Kluyveromyces lactis: one gene and its partner. The protein of the gene in region 1 purifies or fractionates together with the protein of each later gene. This does not show direct contact. Links are inferred from orthologs where the notes say so. Each region holds a gene or a part of one and is shown in the gene's direction. Other genes may lie near its edges.

The links.
Region 2: the proteins of MTR10 (region 1) and NPL3 purify together in Saccharomyces cerevisiae (affinity purification with western blotting, with the first as the bait; 4 studies listed by BioGRID). This does not show direct contact. The link is inferred for Kluyveromyces lactis from reciprocal best matches to the Saccharomyces cerevisiae genes MTR10 and NPL3.

What each region holds. Positions count from the first base shown.
Region 1 is NC_006037.1:203,741-210,077, forward strand, and holds MTR10 (mRNA transport regulator MTR10), read left to right. Parts: upstream 1-1,826; coding exon 1,827-4,712; downstream 4,713-6,337. Other genes in the region: mitochondrial 37S ribosomal protein PET123, read left to right, coding at 78-992; mRNA splicing protein SME1, read right to left, coding at 1,273-1,554; PNS1 (Pns1p), read right to left, coding at 4,933-6,337. UniProt on the Saccharomyces cerevisiae protein: Involved in mRNA transport from nucleus to cytoplasm.
Region 2 is NC_006038.1:74,619-79,740, forward strand, and holds NPL3 (mRNA-binding protein NPL3), read left to right. Parts: upstream 1-2,820; coding exon 2,821-3,849; downstream 3,850-5,122. Other genes in the region: CYM1 (pitrilysin family metalloprotease), read right to left, coding at 1-1,991; UBX2 (Ubx2p), read right to left, coding at 4,814-5,122. UniProt on the Saccharomyces cerevisiae protein: Involved in mRNA processing and export. Required for efficient splicing of a large set of pre-mRNAs by efficient co-transcriptional recruitment of the splicing machinery. Remains associated with the mRNP during early steps of translation elongation.

The sequences.
Region 1 (6,337 bases):
GATCCACGGTCTGTAAGTTCCAGCGACATTTTTGTGATCAAATTTTGTAACCTTGTTCTTTTTAAACATTAGAAACAATGGGTAAGGGTGCAGCAAAGTATGGCTATAAGAGCGGAATTCTTCCATCAACGAGACGAATCTTGAAAAATCCAACTGTGAACCAAACGGGTATACTTGAAAGAGTCAAAGAAGCCAAGCCTAAGGGTATCAATGGTGTCGGTTATGCTAAGGGTATCAAACATCCAAAAGGATCTCATAGAAATCCACCTCCATTGAAATTCATTGATGTGGAGGAAGTTATCTATAACACGGTGAAACCTAAGAGTGAAAATACTACGGCTGCTAGTGAACAGCAGTTATTGAAGCAGAATCAAGCAGAGTTGCGTAGAAAATATTTGAGTGAGTCTTTACGTAACGAAGAACAAAGATTATTAAAGCAGGAAGAGCTATTGAAGAAGAAAGAAAGGGTACTACAAGAACAGAGAGAAGCCGAATTGAAAGAGCTTAACAAAGAACGTTCGAGTAACTTGACCATTCCAACATTGGAGGGCATTATGAATCAACCGCTTATGAGACAAAGGACTGCCGAAGAGCAAGAAATTCTGGATTTGAAGAGAAAGCACAACAAGGAATTGATTGAATTCAAGGCTAAAGAACGCAAACTTGCCAACTTGGTACAGCTTTGTCATGCAGCAGACCATTTCATTGTGACAGAAGAACAACTGGTGGCCAGTGTAGAAAAGGCATTCGCCTCGGACAACCAAGATGTATTAAGAAATAAGTTGTCTTTGTCGACTTCTCAACAAACAGCAAGAAACGAAGGTGAAATTTCGGATGCATTATTTGGTACTTTGGGCAACGGCAAATACGTAGGTTTGCCAATTGTGAAGGAATTTTTATCTGGTGAGATGGAACAATTTAACCAGGAAATTAATACCAAATTGGATGAATTAACTAAACAAGCGGAAGAACGTAAAGACTCTGTCCTTTGAGATATATCTTTTAGATAATATCACTGACACAAAAGAAACCATATGAACTTAAGGTATTCTCCCCAATCTGAGCAACACATTGTAAATAGATCCATAAGATTACGAACAATATATCTTTATTAGCCTTGATAGTGCTTGTCGCCGTTATCGAAATTTCAGTGCCTTTCATTTTTCCGTTATAATATACAGGCTTATATAATTACACGACAGAGTCCGATCAATGCTTCTACACTCTAAGCATCTTTCTTTCATCCTATTATCATTTTCTGAGTAGGCATTATCAATTTGCCACAACAAGTGTTATATTATCACCTTTCAACATAATTCTCCCAAGAAACACTGCTTTATCATCGCTCTCTTTACCACTTTTCGGATCTACAGCTATTTCGAAAGCGTCATCTATTACCACATTCATGAACTCATCAAAGCCTCTGATCTTGCCTCTTATACGTGTCTGTACTTGTTCGTATAACCAAAACGTTACTGTTGTCTGATGATGAAGGTAGTTGTATATGCAATTGATTGGAGGTACCATAGGAGCTCCTACTTTAGAGCCGGACATTTTAGACTTTTTCTAGAATCTTTCGGTGTATTGAAGGTCGATGTTAGTGTAACTATAATCAGATCGCAGTTATCCTTTATTAATGTCAGTCACTAGTGCCATGTTGAATTCGTTTGATATTAGTTTAATAGGATTATTGTTAACATATTAAAAAAATTTTATATATTGAATCAACCAAAACATTTGATCTTACTTATGCACTATAAAAGGAACTCATAAAAACTGCCACAGCAGATACCGTTGAGCAAGAACGACGTGATTGATCAATATTGATGTTGTATCAAATCCCAGATATCAAGAGTGCATTGATTTGTACTCAAAGTGTTTCTGAACAGGAGAAGAAGATACAAGCTTTACAATTTTTGGAGCAATTTCAAAAGAGCATAGAAGCATGGCAAATCTGCTTCGAAGTATTAAGCAAGCATGAAGCAGACAACTTACAGTTGCAAATGTTTGCTTGTCAAACTCTAGTGAACAAAGTCACCTATGATCTAAACCAGGTCAATACCGAATTAGAGAGTTTCAAGGGAAAGCTCTTTGAGTTCATCGCTATGTATGAAGAGAAGATCATAGTAACACAGTTGAACGTGGCACTAGCCCGATTTACCATTCAGTATCTTGATTGGAGGAATCCGCTAGTTGAAATTATTAATACTCTAAATGGTCTTCCGGGAAAGTTACTACTGTTTTTGAAGATTCTCCCAGAGGAAACATTGGATATCAAATCCACTCCTCTATCCCAAGATGAATTTGAGTGTAGAACACACGAACTTATAGATAACATTGGAGAAGACGTATTGAAATTTTTGATTTCATGTTTGGATAGAGTCGGAACTGAAGGCATATCTGCTTCTAAAATCATTTCGTGCTTTGGATCGTGGTGTTATGAATTTCCAATAGAACAGGTATTACAAGTGACTCCATTGATAAACACCGTGTTCCAAGTCTTGCATACTTCATATGATACTGATTCTGATTCTTTTGAAGCTGCAGTAGAATGCTTATGTGTGTTATTAAGAGAAACGAGAGACGCAGCCAACGATACAATCATACATGCGCTTTACGAGCAACTTTTAGCTTTGCAACAAAAGCTATTGCCAATCACAACCATTTCTGACTGGGAAGAATACGAAGAGATTATGGATCCACTCACACGTTTATTCGTTGAAGCTGGCGAAGCGTGGTGTGTTTTTCTTGCAAAGAATCCTGCCTTATTCAAACCATTGGTTGAAGTCATCTTGGTATTAACTTGCAAGAACACTGACCTCGATATCGTTTCGTATACTTTCCCATTTTGGTTTAATTTGAGGCAAATGTTAGTTTTACAACGTTACGCTCAACAAAGAAAAGAATATCAGGATGTATTTATTAATTTAACGAATGGTTTGATTACACATTTGCATTATCCGGAAACTGTTTTTGAAAATAAGGAAGATGAAGATAAATTTAAAGATTTTAGGTATAACATTGGTGATGTACTTAAGTCTTGTGCTGCTGTCTTAGGTTCAACCGTTGCATTGCAGCAACCATATAATCTTATCAACCAATATCTTCAGAAAGAAGATCCTAACACGGTCTGGCAACCACTAGAGGCTGCCTTGTTTGCTGTTCGTACAATGGCTCATGAAATTTCTCATACTGAAAACGTTGTGCTACCCCAACTTTTCAAACAACTATGCATACATCCACTAACTCACCCCAAATTGGTTTATTCTACAATACTCGTATTCTCGAGATACACAGAATGGACCAGTAAACATGAGGATCTACTGGAAATCCAATTGAATTATATATTCAATGGATTTGAAGCAGGCCAATCAAATCATGATCTCTCTGTTGCTGCCTCCAATGCATTAATGTATTTCTGTCAGGACTGCTCGTCACTTCTTGTTAATTATTGTGGCCAGTTAGTGGATTTTATTTGGAAAATTGAACGCGCAGTTGACAACTACTCTATGTTTGAGATGTGTCAAGGCTTAAGTTCTGTCATAAATGAGCAGGAAACAGCGAAGATTGGTGGCATATTCAATTCATTCACCTCCCAACATAATAAGAGGTTTGACATTATCATTCAGCAATTCATCTCGAACCCATCTGATCCTGATCTTTCTGCAAAAGTTGCACACTATATTGATTTGCTTTATGCAATTTTGGAGAACATTGTCCCCAAATTCGAGTATCCAGAACAAGGTGTTGAAGAACCGTTAATTGCCTCTATTTCCGAACATATTACAAAGTTAATTAACTTATTGGACGCATATGCGATCTCTAATGTTATCATTGTCGATAGAACAATGAAATTCTTCCGTCGTGTTTTCGAAAAATACCACCTATTCACACAACCAATACTTCCGGCGGTCTCAGAATTTGTGGCTAAAGGTTATTCAACAAGTGGTCTAGGAGCGTATTTGTGGTTCTCTGGTTCAATTATTTACGTTTATGGTGACGATGAATATTATCCTGTCGATGTACAGGTCAAAGAGGCAGTGTGGCAATTTGCCTGTCAGCAATGTTCTACATTCTTCAATAATTTTAAGTCAATGCAAACATTAGACAAATTCTTTGAAATGGTTCACGACTTCTTCCTTATGTGTAATGATCTTTTAATGTTTTTCCCTGAACATATGATGAACACTCCTGTGCTTATTTCGTCCCTAATACAATGGGATTTAGAGAGTCTTCCAAAACTCGACAATTTTGAAGCATATATGACATTGATCAGATTTTTAGATGATTTATCATCTTGGGGGTTCAAAACTCCACCTATCTCTGTTACGTCAATAACCGAAGTACCGGACGCTTGGAGATGTACAATATTGGAACAGGTAGTCTCTAAGAATGGCTCAAACATAGTTACAGCATTAATTAATGGCCTTGTGACTAATTTTGACAGTAGAGCTCACCAGGAAATTATCAGTTTAATTGTAAAAATATTCAGATTGGCTACAGAAAACAATAACAATGATCCATCTGTTTGCTTAGAATGGTTAGACTCTGCTTTGAGAAAAATGGGAACTATTGAATCTAACGAACGTAGCAAACTAATGAGCATCGGTAATGCATTAATACAGAGGGATTATAGACGTTGCAGGGGTAATATCAAGGATTTCATCGATTGGTATTTAAGGAAACACATTTCTTCAAGAATGTACACATAAAGTCAGGAAAGAGTACGCTTTGAAAAATAAGATCTAATTCACAATATTCGCTTATGATTCATGATGAAACTTTGTCTGATTCCTTTTATTTCATTAGTGAAACGGTAAATAATATATAAGTATTGTCAAATTGATTAATAGTATTAATTGAAAGTTATTAGTCATAAAAGTAGAGGTTATAGGGAAACTGCAACAGCGACATACTTAAAAAATAAAAGTTTTAAACGTTCTGGTGAGAAAGTTTCTTTAAGACTTCAGGATATGCCCTGAAGATTTCGTCGAATCTTTCTGGGTAAGATAGGTGGAAAACTTCCGGATCATTACCCAATGCAACGAAGAAGGTAGCAGTTCCGGATCTGATGGTCTCTGTAATCACGTTGCAAATTTCCATAGCAATGACGAAGGCGAATGCCATCAAGGCTGGTGTAAAGTTGTTGTTGTCATTGTAATTAGGATCTGTGTATCTCAAATAGAGGTAAGCAAATAACGTAGTGATGTAACATGTAAATAAGGTGAAGAAGCTCAATGCGACATTGACTAAATTGTCATTGATTAATGCATCAATACCCTTTTCTCTCAACATATACCATGTTTCCTTTGCAGCACGTAAATATGGCTTACCATACAAAGCAATGAACACGTAAGCATAGTGGTTGAAGTAGCGAGCAAGCCATTCCAAAAAGCTGAAGATCCAGTTGGCGATTAGTGCAAGACATTGCATCCATCCGTTATCTGCTCCGCCACCACCCATAACACCATCTACTGCTAGACGTAGGACTGCTTTCAAAGTCTCGATGATAGTGACAATCAAGGAACCAAAACAAATGGAACCAAAGGAGTAGGTTAGAGATCTTTTTAGAGCACCAAATCCAGGCCATTTTGGCATACCTTGATCTGATTTCGAAAAATAATACCAAGCACCGAATATACCACTGACAGTGCAATGAATGACATTTCTAATGACTTCTGCAATGTAGTAACCACAGAAAAACACCAAGACAAGCAACCCAATCAACTTTGCATTGGAACAAGACCCGCCGTTGGTGGAGCAACCTGGGTTGTTAGCCTTATCATCATACTTCATATAGGTAGCGACAATAACAGCTGAGAAAAGAATGGAGAAAGCAGTTGCTATAATACTTCCAATCAAAGTCACAAACCATGTCTGTGGATAGCTTTTCATCACATCCATAACAGTTTTTAAGACGGCAACAGTGAACGGAATTCTATGTCTCATTCTCCAATAGAATAAAGCACAAATAGCGGTGAAAACAAGGAAAACAATACCCGCAGAGTAATATTTCAACGAAAGGTACATAATGGCAGTAGCCAAACCCGCAATAATGTTGAAAAGGATCCCTGCAATGATAAAGAATTTGGGGAACATTCTAGCCAACACTATCCCTATGATCGAAAACACAAACGCAATGATACAGGAAATAGCCAACATAATGGCTGAATTGGTAGTTAAAGTACCAGTATTAGCACCATCATATACACCAGACCCTTGCGAGCTACTATTTTGGGACCATGCTCTTAACGTAATTGCAGCAACAACAATGAAAGCAATGACACATCCAGCGAAGAAAATGGTGAATGGCCAATCGTTCCATTTTGGTTTACTG
Region 2 (5,122 bases), on another chromosome or scaffold:
TGCTTATGGAAATCAGTTTCACATAAAAGTTTCTTCCAAAACTTGAAGATGTGATCGGTTTTGCTGTTCAAAGCCCATCCATCAACTTGGAATAGCAGCATAGGCTTACCAGTCTGTGCATCTGGATTTACAGATACGCGAGTTGAGACACCGCCAGTGTGCAATTTGATTTGTTCTTCAATGGTGGAAAACTCTTCAGTTGAAGTACCAAGGTTCGTCAATGAGTCTGCGTATAATGGTAGGAAAGGATAAAGTTCTCTTGGAATATGGTGGTTTAGTAAACGCTTACCTCTGACGTATGTAATACCATTGGTATCGGTAATACGATTTAAAACATTATCCTTCTCTAACAATGGGTATGTCTTTGAAACTCTTGGAATTGCACTAATTTGCAATGAAGGAAGGCAACTCAAATCCTCTTTGAGGTCCTGTAGTTCTTGCAATTGTTTACCACGTTCGAAAATGACCTTTTTGTCTTCTTCGTCAAGGAGCTTTAACTTTCTCTCCAAACGTTCTTGTTCCTCAGCATCAAGTTTCTGAGAGAACGTTTCTGAGCCCTTCATGGTGAATTTGAATACAGGTTTTGAAATCACGAATTCTTTGATTAAGTCTTTGAATAAATTATCACCCTTAGTGGCCCAATCTTCTTGGAATCTTTCTAGTGTCTCATCGAACAATAAAGAATCAAATGGATCAGTCTTGTTAACCCATCCTGGTAAAACCGAGTACAGTAATTGTAAACCGAAATCTGCCCTTTGGTCTTTCTTAGATAACTCTAATTGTTGAATGATTGCTTGGATCCTAGACTCCTCAAACGGATTCTGTAATACTTCTTCCCATACTTTGTTAATAACTTCATATATCGAATCCACTTCATCACATCCTTGAACACCAATAGTGATAAAGTTTGCAGCAGTCTGCGACTCTACACCAGTGTTAACTGAAAAGTCGTACGCCAGCCCACTTTCAATTAGTTTTTGATAGAAAGGAGAGGAATGTCCGTCTAATAATAAATTACCCAAGATCTTCAATAGAAATGTTTGGTACGTGTCTTCAGGTTTACCACAAATCCAAGTCACAGAGGTCTTGATCTGTTTATCCGGTGGTAACATAGGATCAACCTGTCCTTCGGTTTCTACAGAAACATCTTCTTTCATTTGGATTGGTAATAGTTCCCTCTTCTTAGAACCCCTTCTACCATAACCTTGATATTCTTTATTCAACCTCTGTAAGGTATTGTTCAAATCGAAGTTCCCGTATGTAAACGTCTTAGCATTAGAAGGATGGTAATTATTTCTGTGGAAACTGATTAAATCTTCATATTGAAGATCAGTCATTTTAGTTGGGTCACCACCAGAGTTATTCAAGGATGGATAATAGCTTTCTTGAAACTTAATCCAGAAATAATAGTTAGCATTGGATACTTGACCCTTCATTTCATTGTATACAACACCTTTGAAACCTATATCGCTGTTTGGATCATCAACCTTAGTGTGTTCAAGCCTCCAACCTTCTTGTAGGAAATCTTGCTGATTCAACAATGGATTTAGAGTTGCATCAAGGTAAACGTCTCTTAGATTAGCAAAATCCGTCTCATTAGTGGTAGCAAACGGGTAAAAAGTATAGTCATGACCAGTCATAGCGTTCATGAAGTTTGCCAACGATCTGTTTAACATCTTGAAGAACGGATCGCGAACAGGATACTTATGAGAACCGCAAAGAGTTGTGTGTTCCAAAATATGTGGCACACCAGTTGAATCCGGGGGATTGGTTTTGAATCCGATACTGAACACGTTGTTGTTATCATCTCTATCAATATGTAAATGTTGTGAACCGGTTTGGTTATGCAATAAATCCACGGCTGTTAGCTTTAGTTCAGGGACAGGAAGTAATCGTTTCACTTCATATCCGTGAAAAACGCCACCTACTGGGTACTTCCTCAGCGCCCGAGACTGTGCATATTTTGTGGCATAGTTACGAATTTGAAACATGGTATTTTATAATGCAAGAATTCTCCACCTGGATTTAGATTCAATATTCCTTCGCTTATATTTCAAACCCAGTTTTTTCGATCTTGGTATATTAATCAATGATTACTGTCGTCAACGATTCTATAACGATTTATTGCGAATAAATAGATAAAAGAAATGCAAAGAGAAAACGAACGGTCAAAATATCGGAAATATCCCCTCTAAACTGCTAGTTCGCTTGGCTTTTCGTTTCTTGCCTCTGAGATAAATTCGCTAAATTGACTTATCAATATGTTAAGAGACCTTTGGCATGCTCTAGTATCTTTCCTCCAGGATTCCATACTATCGAAGAAAAACAGCTATGAACTACGGTCTCACTTCTGACGAGTTAAAAAAATGAAAAACTGAAGTTCAAGTCACGTGATACATGTGTCACTCTTACCTTTCTGTATAACAATGGTAAATACAAGTAGCAATGAGAGCATTTGATCAATATAGCCTCTCAGATCGTATTTGGTAGGAGTATGACTTGTATGAGGGCTTATATCTGTGCATGCGATACTTATCAGCACTCATTCTAAAAAGACTTGTACCGAGGATTCCAGAGTTTTACCCTACCTACCAAACCTTGTTTGACACTATTCTCTTCTGTCTTTTCTTTTCCCGATGTTCATTTAAAATTTTCACTTTCTCCTATATATAAAGACATATTTAAAACCTGGTTTTTGGAAAAAAAATTCTACTCCATCATCGTTGAGTGGCGTTGCAGTATTGTTTTTGACTAAGATATTAGTGTTTCACTTCTTTTGCTCAAGGTACAACCAAGAACACTTACTCGCGAAATATCAAGATGTCTGACGTTCCTCCTCCTCCAGCTGTCGAAGAAGAAACCTATGAAAAGCCATATGAAAAGCCATATGAAAAGCCATATGAAACTGCTCCACCACCTCAAAGTTATGAAAATTTCAATAATAGAGTTGATGACGATGAAGAGCTTTCTGATACCAGACTATTTGTGAAGCCTTTCCCTCCAGATGTCACTGATGCTGAAATGAAGGAAATTTTCGAACCTTTCGGTGCTTTGAAGGAAATAAAGATTTTAAATGGGTTCGCTTTTGTTGAGTTTGAAGAAGCTGAGTCTGCTTCCCAAGCTATTCAAAACGTTGCCGGTAAAATGTTTGCCGACTACCCATTGGAAGTTGTATTTTCCAAGAAGTTAAAGCCAAGATTCAGAGTCATTATCAGAAACTTGCCAGAAGGCTGTGCTTGGCAAGAATTGAAGGATTTGGCCAGAGATAACCAGTTAGAAACTACTTTCTCCAGTGTCAACACCAGAGACTTTGACGGTACTGGTGCTCTTGAATTCCCAACCGAAGAGATCCTGCAGGAAGCCATTGAAAAGTTGAACAACATCGAATTCCGTGGTTCAGTTTTGGCTGTTGAAAAAGATGAAAACCCACCACCAATCAGATCCTCTCGTGGTCGTGGTGGTTTTAGAGGCCGTGGCGGTTTCGGTCGCGGTGGCTTTGGTGGCCGTGGTGGTTTCGGCGGTCGCGGTGGTTTCGGCGGCCGTGGAGGCTTCGGTGGTCCAAGAGGTGGCTTTGGTGGCCGTGGCGGTTTCGGCGGTCGCGGTGGCTTTGGCGGTCCAAGAGGTGGCTTTGGCGGTCGCGGTGGCTTCGGTGGTCCAAGAGGCGGTTTCCGTGGTGGCCGTGGTGGCTACGGTGGTCCAAGAGGCGGTTACGGTGACTTTGGTGGTCGTGGCGGTGGTTACGGTGGCCGTGGCGGTTACGGTAACAGAGACTACGCACCAAGAGAAGACTACCAAAGAGGCAGCGGAGAAGGCTACCAAGCGCGTGAAAGATCTCCAGTTAGAGATTAGAGGATTTCTGGAGTGCACAAATAGCTTTCATCTAAGAATGTTGTGAAATTACTTCAAGCATCAAACCGTGTGTCCCTACCATTATCATCGGAGTTGGTATTAGCTTTCTTTTGTCACTTTTAACAGAATTATTATGCTTACTATCTTAGGGAGTTATAAGCTCTTGTTTTCGCCCGTTGTTTTCATACTTTGTCGTTACACCAAGAAACCTCTGAACTTTACTTGGAATTTGAATTTACTCACAATTGTTGGGAATGAATTGAAGGTATCAACCTTGATGGATTGAGAATAAAAAAAAAAATTAAATATTAGTATAGGAAAAACCTCCCATCATCAGGAAAAAATCTTTTTACTTGTGGATCCGAACAGAACATCAAGGATCGTGAGGAGAAGGAAAAAATGATTATGTTTTTATAGTGGATTATTATTGTATTGTTTTATTATTTATCTTTGCGACTAGAAAAGAGGTCTTCCAGAGTAAGGAAGAAGTAGTGATGATCATGGAAATCAATTTCGCGAGGGAAATTGGTTGTGTTTTGTAACTGTGCTTGAAAATCAACCTTAACTCCAGCTCAGAATTGTTACAAATGGCACATATATGTCAGCGTCAAAGACTGCGCTTTTAAACGAATCAACAACTTATTGTTTCTTGCATCCGATCAGTGGATTTTGTCTTAGTCCATTTTCCAATTTGTGATTCTTAATCTTGCATTGCCGACATTACAGTGCATCAACCACCATTATTTTGTGTCTCTTCAAGAAAATGGTAATGTAGAATTGTCTTGAACTTGTAGGAGGCCTACGAAGGCCTTGACGTTATCCTGATGTGTACGAATTTGATTCTTTACAAACTGGGCGGTTTGTCGGATCAAACTTGTACCCACCTTAAACAAATCTTATTGATAAAACTGTTGTTATGCTCTAACATCGACTCCTAGTCACTTGACTATTTAATTTTATATCGTTATGTTGAATGACCAGCGTCATCACTCTCATCCTCTCCTTCGGAGCTGTCATCATTGTCCAATGATTCTATCAAGAGACTCCCGTTTGGCCATAGTTCTGACCTTGTTTTCAATTGAATGGATGGATCATTTGGAGTTTGTTTTCTAGGGAAAGGCGAAACCAACTCAAAGTCAAAGCTAATATCCTCTAGTTCGGTCTTAGATCTGAGTTCGGAAATACCCTTTTCTAATATTGCTTTTAGTTGATTTTCCGTCTTGGATTCCAATAGTTCTCCAGCAATGTTGGTGCTTTCAATAGCGGTAGCGTA